Drosophila melanogaster: one gene and its partners. The protein of the gene in region 2 interacts with the protein of the main gene of each other region in a pairwise test. Each region holds a gene or a part of one and is shown on either strand. Other genes may lie near its edges. The genes, in order: bab1, FoxL1 and Usp20-33.

Region 1 (3,755 bases), 2.9 Mb from region 2:
TTAGAAAACGATTCACAACATATGAATAATTGAAAACAAAAGTACGAAAGTTATCTTTAAGGAAGATGAAATACAAAGATAAACGTGAAATTTAAGTTGCTTAGATTCACTCACCCTTTCTTCCTCTCGGATCATCTCGGCGATCCCTGGCTTGATCTCCAAGTCATCGGCGAGCGAGGATCCCCCGCCTGAACCCACTCCGCCTGCACCTCCTCCTCCAACTCCCCCGCCGCCCACTCCACCACCGCCATGGTGGTGCGGCGGTGGAGGCGGAAGGCGTGGCTCGGCGGACGGACCTGGTCCCAGGCCACTCAGTTCCCTGGCAGCGGCCATGGCGGCTGCTGGGCCGAGGGGAAAACGGGAATCTCCAGCAGGCGATGCCGGGTGGTGGGCTGATCCGGCGGTCTGGGAGGGATGTGGGGCGGGTGATGCGTGATGGTGCGGATGCAGGGGCAGGGGCAAAGGAAGCTGACCCTGCTGCTGTGCCTGCTGCTGCTGGGGGCTCTGCGAGTGAGGTCTCGACGATCGGGACAGAGGTCCTGGCGTGGCAGCCGGCGATGGCATGTCCAGGGCGTGGATGGCGGTCTCCAGGCGCCTCGTGGCTCCCACTGTGGAGCCACTGCTCATTGGTGGTTTGGGTGGGGGTGTCATCAGCGAACAGTCCCTCTGTCTCTCTCTTTCCTTTTGCTCCAGCTCCATCCTTTCGGCCGCAATCAGGCTGCTCAGTGGACTGGGTGGTGCGGGTGGATTGAATATTGTGTCCGCCGATGGCCACCGGCGCTTTCTTACATTCCTGCCCTGCTGCCGCTCCAGTGGGGAGAGCCTCAGCTCAGCGGGATCCCAGTCCGAAGTGCGTAGCTTCTTCTCGGGCTGCATGAAGGCCAGCAGCTCCTCGGCCTCCCGTTCCCTGTCGTGTTCAGTTCTGGAAGTTGAAGTGCTCTCCTTGGGCGAGGAGGGCATTCTCTCCGACGAAGCGGCAGCCGCTGCTGCCGTGGCCGCCTCCATATGGGTCACATCCGCCAGACCACGCACTTTCAACATCTCAGCTATCCTGAGCAGAGGACCTATCTGGTCCTGGCTCACGTTGATCTCGCCGCGATACATGAACTCCACAATGGCCTTGAGATCCGACCAATTTACGTCCCGCATGATCACAATGGGATGCTGGCAGGGCGTTTCGGCCAGAAGTGTTTGGAAGTAGGGCGAGCAGGCGGACAGGACCATCTTGTGGGCCTTCATGGACCGACCATCGCATGCCAAGGTCACGTCCACGAAGCACTCGTTCTGGAGCAGCTGGTCAAAGATGGTGGTCAGGTTCGTCTGATAGTTGTTCCAGCGCAGGCAGAATTGCTGGGAGCTGGAACTGGGCGAGGCTACCGAAGAACTCCTGCCCTGTGGCGAACTGACGGGCGAAGATCCTCCCCCTCCGGCTACAGCATGACCTTGACTCTCCTTGTCCTCGTCCTTGGCCCCGCCAGTTGGTGAAGTGCGATCCTCGCTTTTGATACGCTTCTCCTCCTGCTGAGTGGGCGAGCTTCTGTTACTCTTGGGCGAATCGGCGCCCGATCCCGTCCCTTTGCGCTGCCTCTGAGCCACTGGTCCCTGTTCGGACGCCAAGCCGACATTCGTCTCCGCCTGCGCCGACGCCATTTTGTCTGCAGCTGATCGTTGATCGTTGATCGTTGGATCACCGGCGATCGTAAACGTTACGCGATCGTTATTCGTTACGCGATTCGCTCTTCACATAGCGTTTAAGGAATAAGCATTCAAAAGAATCCGCGACAATTACGACGCTCAACTGAGAGTGGGCATGTACATGTGCGTATCTGTGTGCGTGCCTCTGTCTCTCTGTGTGTGTGTGTGTGTGTGTGTGTGTCTGGGCGTGTGTGTATGGGTGTTTAACGTATTCGTTACGTTACGCGCACTACGTGGCCATTTGGCAATTAGCCCGCCGCCTCGTTCTTTCAGTTCGATTCGGTTCTCGTCGTCGTGTCCAGTGTTATTCAGTGTGTGCTTTCAGTTCCGTTTCTGTTTCTGTTTCGGTTTCAGTGTTCTATGGCTGTATTGGCCAACAAACAGGGCCAAAAGTCTTCTCAGCACGAGCGTCTGAATTAGACTGAAATCGTTTTGCACATTTTGATACGGAAAAACTCAAAACAAACTTAACACACGACGACGACGATGGCCCACGACGACGTGGATGTGGATGTGGATGTGCGGCTGTGGCTGTGGCTGTGGCAGTGCCTGTGCCTGTGCCTGTGGAAAGCTGAGGGGCAACGTTGATGTTGCAGCAACGGCAACGGCAACAGCAGAAGCGGCAGCAACAGCAACATCAGCAGCAACTGCTACTGCTACTGCTTTGTAGTTGTTGCTCTCAGGCTGCGACTGAGTTCGCGACGAAGTTGCGAATAGTTCGCGAACTGCTCTGCCGGCGCTGCGAAAGGAAAATGCGACGTAGGCAGCGCCGCTTGGCTGAGAACCGACGGCAGAGACAACGACCGAAGCAGCGGCGAGCCCGTTGAAAATGGCTGAAAACGGCGAGCTGTAGGCGCCAAAAAACGCCGGCTAACGGCACCGCATTCCTTTGCTCCTGCGCTGCGTTTTGGCTCTCCTCGAGCTCAACATCGGAATCGGCTTCGCTCGTCCTTCGTCCTTCGTCCTTCGTCGGCCTGCTCGACGCACTCGAACTCGTCCTCGTCCTCGTTCTCGGCCTCTCGCCGTTGCAACCCCCAAAATTTTGGCGCTTTGCCGCCGCACAACTACCGTTGCGTAAAAAGGATGCGTCGCTGCAAGTGGCAAGTGGCAAGTGTGCGTGCGTGAGGAAACGGAAGTTGCCCCGAAAATGCAGCGGAGAGCGACGGCGATTGCGATTGCGATTGCGATTGTGAGTGCGAGTGCGAGTGCGGATTCGAGCTTAGGCCTAATATTTTTCGGAGGTGCTTGGCAGGAGAGGGTGTGGACGAGCCCCATCGACCAGTACCCCTGGCACAAAATAGAGGAACACATCTAGGTGGTCTTCAGGAATTGGGAATGCGGCGAAAATAGTGCTGAGTTTGCCGATTATTTAGGTGATGGATATTATATATCTTATTAGGGTTCTTTTAAAAGCTTAAATTTAAGTGAAAAAATTGAAAAAATTGAAAATTATTAAATAAAATATTTTAATTATTTTTAGAATATTGGAAATCGATATTCATATGTATGAATTGCTTGTAACATTTGTAGTATGAGCATTTTGCGAGAAGTGCAGATTAGTGATCATTAGGTCTTTCGAAGCACATTCCTCTCTCTTTCTATTCTTCCCAAGCCATTACTCTTTCTCCCTCACGCATTCCACCTCATCCGACTGAGAAACAAAACTCGGCTGAAAGATGCTTCATTAATTAGTTCCGTTCGAGGTGTACCCCACACAGCCCCCCCTTCGAAAAACCATCACGAAAAACTCTCTTCGCAGTCGACGTCGCTGCCAGTCGTGCATTGTAAACAAATGCTTAGGCGAAATCAAGATGTGCGGCGAATTGGCTCTCTCTCTTTCGCGAGAGAGTTGGCTGGCGCTTTTCGCCTAAGAGACGTTTCTCTTTCTTTCAGCTGCACCTGCAGTTTTCCACTAGTTTTTCTCGCTCTCTTCATGAGTAGTGGTGATGGGCATTTGGGGGGGTGCCGAGTGGCCGAAGGGGCGGAGGGCGGGGCACTATCGTTTCAGACTGGTCAGCCTCGGTTTTTTGCCTCTGTGTGGGTGATTCCGTGTATGTGTT
Region 2 (3,755 bases):
CCACAAATCCATGCTGATCGATGATTTGTTGTCTTTGATCTCGGGAGCAAGCCACAGTGGTGTCGAGTGATTAAATCAAATTTTGACAAGGTGTCGACTGGCGGCACTCCGAGTGTATTTGCCGCAAAGTGTGCCTGAAGTTGAAAATCTTACAGTGGAGCTTCATAAACAGGCACTGTACGGGGAGTACCCAAGTACCTAAGTTTGGCTAACAATCTTAACACAGCGGATTTGAAGTAACTAAACTTTGAGTATCTTAACATGCAAAAGAGTCGAGCGATGTAACATGTCGCTTTCTCTCGAGGCTCTACTGTAATGTATCTCAGCTAAATGCAAGCAGTTCACAGCATAAATCAAGCGATGACAACGTGAACAACAACACCGGTAGTCACGCACTAAACTATAACTATAACTACGCGATTACACACAGCGATTAAGTTGCGGTTGGGGAGCTGCGCTGCGACTAAATAAACAGGATCCGAGGCGTTTTATGGCTTAGTGCGAGGGATATGTCAAAAAAGATGCGGTGAAATGCATAGGAAAACATAGTTTCACAACGAAAAACATCGATCGGTGTTCGAAGACGAAATCAGACCAAACCGAGCTGGGCCATAAAAAACAATATTTGTTTCCAATACTATTCCCAGCATAGGTCTAAAAATAAGCAAGCTAAACACGCAGGGCAGCGACATCTTCGAGAGAATCGGAGGACCATGGGCCATAGGATAACCCATTGTTTTATGACCCATTCTCACCAGCGGTAAGCGATCGTAAAATTTGAATAAATCGGGAGAGAGCGTGAAGAATCCTTTGTGGCATTGGCATCATCCACACATGTGAACTTCAATTGCTTCGGGCATTTTGGATTTTCAGTTCTTCGATTTGCGTTCAATGTTTTTATTTCTTTCAAATGATCTCTGCTTTCTACTTGAGAACGGAACGATCGTAAAAATCGAGCGTAGTCCTGTTTGAAATGTATACACAATTGTTTTACGACCTTTTAAGATATAGACCAAGACTTTCGGTTGCATTCGGAAAATTGCGTACTTGACTGCCGCGAGTTTACTCTCGCTTTCCTTCGTTCGCTCGGAAAAGTCGTAAAAATCGGAAGGCAACTGCCACGAGATAGCATGGGATGTCAAGGGACCAGATAATGCCGACTTCTGGCATTATCTTGCCAGCTGCTATCCGGTGGAATGTATAAACGGAGTGCTTCTTGGAATCGCTTTATTTAAATAATGTTTACAAACCAATTGAACTGACGAGTTATCAAAGCTCTTTAGTGAGTGCTATCAAGAGATTTGAAAGTTATAAAATGATTAAACATCTAAATGAACTTTTTCAAGCCAGAAAAAGGCTAAATTAGTGACTAACTCACGCAATGATTACATACATACATATGTAACCTATCATAATACTGCAGTATAATCTTTTTTAATAACTGGGACTAACGATGTACGCATGAGATCCTAGAAGCTTTACATTATTTCCAAAGATTTAAAAATTCCCTTTCAAGTGCCCGTAATTCAAGTGTAAACTTTGCTCGATTTTCATTTGTTGAAAAATCAAAATCTACATATTATTCAAAACACACTGGGACTCTCCCACACTCACTCACACATGGGGAAAAGGTCTTGACTCCGCCCATCGAGGAAAATACAGGCAAATGAGAATGGACATAAATAAACATGGAAAGAGTAGAGAACATATTTGTAGGAACGCCCCCTCAAAAGAGAGATCTGCCATATAACGGGTATATGCGAAAAAGATATAGTATAAGCAAGGATATTAATTAGTAATGATATAATCAATCTAAATCTAGTACTACAAAGTTAATAACTGAATACACTTAAATATTAACAACATCATCTTATTATATTATAACATAATAATCTCAAATATATTATACTTATTTCATATTTCAATTTATTCAATTTCTTCCTTAATAAAATTTAAATTTTTCAAGGAAAATTGTTTTCCCCTCTCTGAGAACTTACGCATGTGTGGATCTTTTGGTGAGGGTGTTTGCATATCCCTATATTTATAGACCAATGCGCTGCTCTCCCCCAAAAACACACACCCATAAGATTGGGATGAGGCATTACAAGTGATCTGCGTATCCGAGTTCATTCATTAGTCGATCGGACTTCTTGGCTGACGCAACACATGGTCCACAGTCGCGCTCGAATCGCCCACAAAATCGGAAGTAACAGCTAACCGGAAAACAGGACAAAAATCCTAAATATCTAACAAGTTAATGTGAAGTGATATTCGAAACAAAGTTCCCGAAAGATACATAAAGAGTATAAAAGAACTTTGAATCAAGTTACTGGGATTTCGTTTTGAAAAATGTTACCCTCTTGCTATGCCAATGGATCGATGCTGCCGGATAATGAGGAGCTGGTCAACTCCATGCTAGCGAATCCGGATTATCTCAGGACCCAGGTGTCACCCAATCCGCTGGCTCCAAGTGCCGTCGGAGGTGCGGGCATGGAGGGTCTGATGTGCGGATCGTTTTCACCGGCCTTCTACTACCAGGGCATCGATAGCTTTCTGGCCCTGCACAACAACATCTGGGGATTGCCTATATCCTTTCTGCACAACTCCCATCGACCGGAAAAGCCTCCTTTCTCCTACATTGCCCTCATCGCCATGGCCATCAGCAGTGCACCCAACCAGCGACTGACCCTCAGTGGAATCTACAAGTTTATCATGGATAAGTAAGTTAATTGAACAATACAAAAATACGAGATCTTTGATAGATCAATAAGTGAATTTAGTTTGTAAATCAGCAAATAAAATTTCCAATTTCTGTACATATATTCTACTAAAGCTCTTGTTTTTACAATCCTACAAAAATAAATGTTCCGCCTTGTCTTAAATCGAGGAAAATTTAGATGACATTCTTGGCTAAATCAAATGCCAAAATAAACAACCGCCACATTCCAAGTATCTGTACAAACCAAAGAAGTTTTTATCCCGAGAAGAAGTTTTTATCACGAAACTTTTGCCACAACTGGGATTAAGTCGGTGAAATATGGAGCATTAATCCAATTTCTTAATGTGAAAATATATAAATATCACGCAGATTACTTGGTAATTATCCATATGAAATGGTTTCATTTATTGGCTTAAATTTATTAGTCATATCTTTAACAAATATTAAAATATATATGTATATATTTCCTTTCCTGAATGAACAGAGTGCATAAAAAATGGCGGCCAGATATATAAAATAGATCGCAAGTAATTTGAAAAACAGGAAAATGAACAATGTGTTTGTAAACTAAATATTTCCGATTTCTTTATCAACATAAACAAATATTATTTTTATTGCTTTTTCAAATCGCTTGATTTAAACAAACCAGCGGAGGATATAGATATGGGCTAATAAGATGTGTATCAACAGCAAGTTTTTCAGATTGTAAAATGATTTTTATATATACAAATTCAGATATTCAAAGCTGTGAAATTCTGAAGTAAATAGTTTTGATAAACACGCATTCGATTTATATTTATAAAATATCTTTTCCATTGTTAATTTATTGAAAATAAAGTATATATGTTTACCCTTTCAAAATTTGATAAAAATGTCAAGGAAATATAGCTCCTAATTAATTAATTAATTGGATAATATCCAATTATTTTTTAGATTCCCATATTACAGGGAGAACAAGCAGGGCTGGCAGAACTCCATTCGCCACAATCTGTCCCTCAACGACTGCTTCGTGAAGATTCCGCGGGACAAGAACACA
Region 3 (3,755 bases), on a different chromosome or scaffold from region 2:
GTCGAAGCCCTCCAGCGGAAAGTAAACGTCCGAGGAGATTTTTGAACTATAAGAAAGATCGTTGCGAAACCGCTTCAGGTGGATACACAAAACCTCTGGCAAGGTGAGGACGCGGGAGTACTTTATTCCCGTCCGAAGTTTGTTGCAGCGCTCGCAGCTGAAAAGTACATACACTGATTGATTGAAACGCCTATATATCCTAAAGGATCTTCTCACCTGTACATGTTGTCTCCCTTCAACTCATCCGCGCTGAAAAAACTGGCCATGCAGTCGTAGAGCGTCACCGAGGGTCCGTAAATCCAGGAGCGCAGCATATTCCACATCCAGGACAGCCAGCCTTCGTTGGTCCTAGCGGAAGTTTCAGCGGCATTCAAACTTTGCACGCTTAAGCTATGGGTTTGATGAAGAACGTTCAGAAAATCACGATTGGGAATGGGCAGCGAGAGATCCTGGAATGTTTCCTCGCGTGTGGACACACGATCGCAGGTCAGGCACTGCACCGAGGACAAAAGCTTGCCATCGAACACGTCGCTGATTATTGAGCGCGCTGCTTCTATAGGTTTCTGTTCGGCGGAGGAGGCATTTTTTTGCTGATGCTGCAACGGTGCCTGCTGCAATTGCACCGAATGGCCTTCTGGCAGCCCACTGTTGGAACCATTTGTCCGACAGGGCGTTACAAAGTACTCTGTCTTTAGCAACACCTCTGCCGATCGCTCCGACATGCTGCTTTCACAGGTGTCGTATTCGCTTTCGGATGCATGTGACAAGGACGCAGGCGCTGCCTCATCATCGTTTTCGTCATCCGTTTCGCTGGGCTGCTGCTGCTGAAGTGACTGGTATTGCGGCTGATTCTGCGTCTGCGGCAGCATTGAGACCTGCTCTGTCAGCTCCTCGTGCAGCTGGTCCATGAAGCACCGCAAGAACTCCTGGGTATCGTGTTGCTGATAGCCCCGAAACATGGGATGAACCGTGCGAATGCCATACAGAATACCACGCGGGGCAATAAACTCTGTAAAATCTCAAACTTTAGTAGGTTTTCCGATTAAGAGAGGGTGAAAGGCTGAACCTTTGGGATCATCGACATCCTGCCAGATTTCCTGCATCAAGCGACGATAACTCTTGGCCAGCCCGCCGGGCTTGCAGCGACGTGCGCTCTGCTCTGCTATGTACTCCACAAGGTCGCTGCAGTTGATAAAGTAGTGTGTCATCGGCGGCAAATTACTCAGTGCCTGTAGTGCCGAGTTCATATAGCAGGTATTCGCAATGTTCTGCAGGCCCACGAGTCCCGTGCCCGAGCCCTTTGCTGTGTCTGTGCCCTCACTGTCACTGGCGTTCGAGTCCTCGCGCCGTGCAAGCGATTTTAGCGATCCGCTGAAGAGTTTGTCGTGACATCGGCTGCTCCTTGGATCACCCATGGCATACCCGTTCGCCAGCTGACCGAGAAAAAATCGAAAGTCATGTAATCGAGCATTAAACAATGCCTACAAATGCGACAGTTCGCCTGGAGCGGAATTCTCCCCCACACCTTACCGTGTGGCCCTGGCTGCTGTGTATGGTGCGGTTGCGGTGCTCTACATATGGATTGTGCGGATTTGGGTTGGAACTCAAACTCATTATAGTTCCCTAGCTGCCAGTATTTTGTTTTTTTTTTATATTTTAATTGAGAATTTTGATTGGAAACGACCGCAGAAAAGGCGTTTGCGATTTCGGATGGTGTTTTTGGTATTGTCCGTCAGTGTGACCGAAGCAAAAAACCGGGAGTCAAGCGGATATTATTCGTCTAATATTTAGATGATTTAGAACGCGTATGAGTATCGACTTAGAATAAATTTTAAAATTTAGACCAAACCAATTAAAATTTATAAGTATAAATAATTTAAACATACATCATAATTTTTTCCAATACGATACTTCTGGTTAAGAGCATCGCTGGCGTGCCATCCCCACTGTAAGACCTTCGGCCACACTTATTTGAAACTCGGGAAAAAAAAACGCAGAAAATAGTCGAAAATGTGTATACAAAAAGTGTAACTAAGCGTTTTCATGAGTGATAAGGGCCAAGAGTTTACTGCTAGACGTTCGAGCGGCCAGTGACAGGCCTGGTTTAGTCGTACCCAAACCGGAATGGGTGATGCCTCATAGTTTTTTCTGCATCTGCTGGCGGAGATTCGACTACCCCCTCCGCTGTACAAGGTAAAACGGCCCTGCCTTTCCGCATTCCCTTGTGTAACAGCCCTGCTTTTGCGATGCTCCTGTTGGGAATCGAATGTAAAAAGGACTCATTCAAATGAATCATTAATTGGGAGCAGGCGATGAGTGTGCAAGTGCCCCTGTGGGATGGGCTACTGCTCAGCGTCATTCAGGCCGCTAGCTATTACATCAATAAGTTCATGAAGCAGTATTTTGCCAGCGAAACATCCCGTGTACGAAATAATAGAACTCTATAATTATAGTTTTAGCTAATCGCGGATAGTTGTGCCTGGCCAACACGCAGGCCGTTGGAAGAGTGCCAAGGAGCCATCATGACGCTGGAGACGCAGCCCGTTGGCGGGGTGAGCGACGGCAAGATCGCTGGTCTTTATGATCTGGAGGAGACACTGGGATCCGGACACTTTGCCGTCGTGAAGTTGGCCCGGCATGTGTTCACCGGTGCCAAGGTGGCGGTCAAGGTAGTGGACAAAACCAAGTTGGACGATGTGTCCAAGGCGCATCTGTTCCAGGAAGTGCGGTGAGTAGCTATAACAATCAATCCACAATTTTTTTTTCAATAATCCCGCTGCACTTATAAACTCCAGATGCATGAAACTGGTGCAGCACCCAAATGTTGTGCGACTGTACGAGGTTATTGATACCCAGACCAAGCTGTATTTGGTTTTGGAGCTTGGCGATGGTGGCGATCTATACGATTACATAATGAAGCACGACTCTGGGCTCAGCGAGGAACTGGCCCGAAAGTATTTCCGCCAAATCCTACGTGCTATCACGTACTGTCATCAGCTTCACGTGGTTCACAGGTGAGAGCGCGCTCTAACTGATAGTACGGCGTATTGTGCCGATCACTGATTTACGTAACATTCAATTCTCCTACAAAGGGATCTAAAGCCGGAGAACGTGGTGTTTTTCGAAAAGCTGGGCCTTGTCAAGCTCACCGACTTCGGGTTTAGCAACAAGTTCTTGCCGGGCCAAAAGCTAGAAACCTTCTGCGGCAGCTTGGCCTACTCGGCCCCAGAGATCCTGCTGGGCGACTCCTATGATGCGCCTGCAGTTGGTATGTAGACAACTAATATGTCCCATAACCCTTTGTTAATCATTTTATCTGATTTGTTTAGACATTTGGTCCCTGGGAGTAATTCTGTATATGCTGGTCTGCGGTCAGGCGCCTTTCGAGAAGGCCAACGACTCGGAAACTCTGACCATGATCATGGATTGTAAGTACACGGTACCCTCGCACGTGTCCACTGATTGTCGGGACCTGATTGCCTCAATGCTGGTGCGGGATCCAAAGAAACGGGCCACTGTGGAAGAGATTGCTTCATCGGCTTGGCTAAAGCCCATCGATGAGCCCGATTCGACGACCTCCACCTCAGAGCACTTTCTGCCTTTGGTCAGTCGCGAACAGCTGGGCGAAGAGGATCACGCCTTTATCATACAAAAAATGATAAACGGAAACATTGCGTCCAAGGAAGAGATATTGCAGTGAGTACAATAGCACAAATAATAAATCAATTTTGTCTTGCTAACACCAAGTGACGTCA

What was found.
Region 1: the proteins of FoxL1 (region 2) and bab1 interact in a two-hybrid assay, tested with the Drosophila melanogaster proteins (one large-scale study listed by BioGRID).
Region 3: the proteins of FoxL1 (region 2) and Usp20-33 interact in a two-hybrid assay, tested with the Drosophila melanogaster proteins (one large-scale study listed by BioGRID).

Annotation. Positions count from the first base shown.
Region 1 is NT_037436.4:1,098,987-1,102,741, forward strand, and holds the start of bab1 (bric a brac 1), read right to left. Parts: upstream 2,104-3,755; 5' UTR 1,651-2,103; coding exon 115-1,650; intron 1-114. UniProt on the Drosophila melanogaster protein: Probably acts as a transcriptional regulator. Required for the specification of the tarsal segment. Also involved in antenna development.
Region 2 is NT_037436.4:4,016,745-4,020,499, forward strand, and holds the start of FoxL1 (forkhead box L1), read left to right. Parts: upstream 1-2,133; 5' UTR 2,134-2,349; coding exon 2,350-2,720; intron 2,721-3,652; coding exon 3,653-3,755. UniProt on the Drosophila melanogaster protein: Transcription factor. Coordinates the placement and migration of various organs during embryogenesis, including the salivary glands, hemocytes, germ cells and Malpighian tubules.
Region 3 is NT_033778.4:14,237,889-14,241,643, reverse strand, and holds the start of Usp20-33 (ubiquitin specific protease 20/33), read right to left. Parts: upstream 1,713-3,755; 5' UTR 1,615-1,712; coding exon 1,531-1,614; intron 1,434-1,530; coding exon 1,067-1,433; intron 1,010-1,066; coding exon 217-1,009; intron 158-216; coding exon 1-157. Other genes in the region: Snrk (SNF related kinase), read left to right, coding at 2,523-2,728, 2,796-3,014, 3,093-3,268, 3,330-3,696.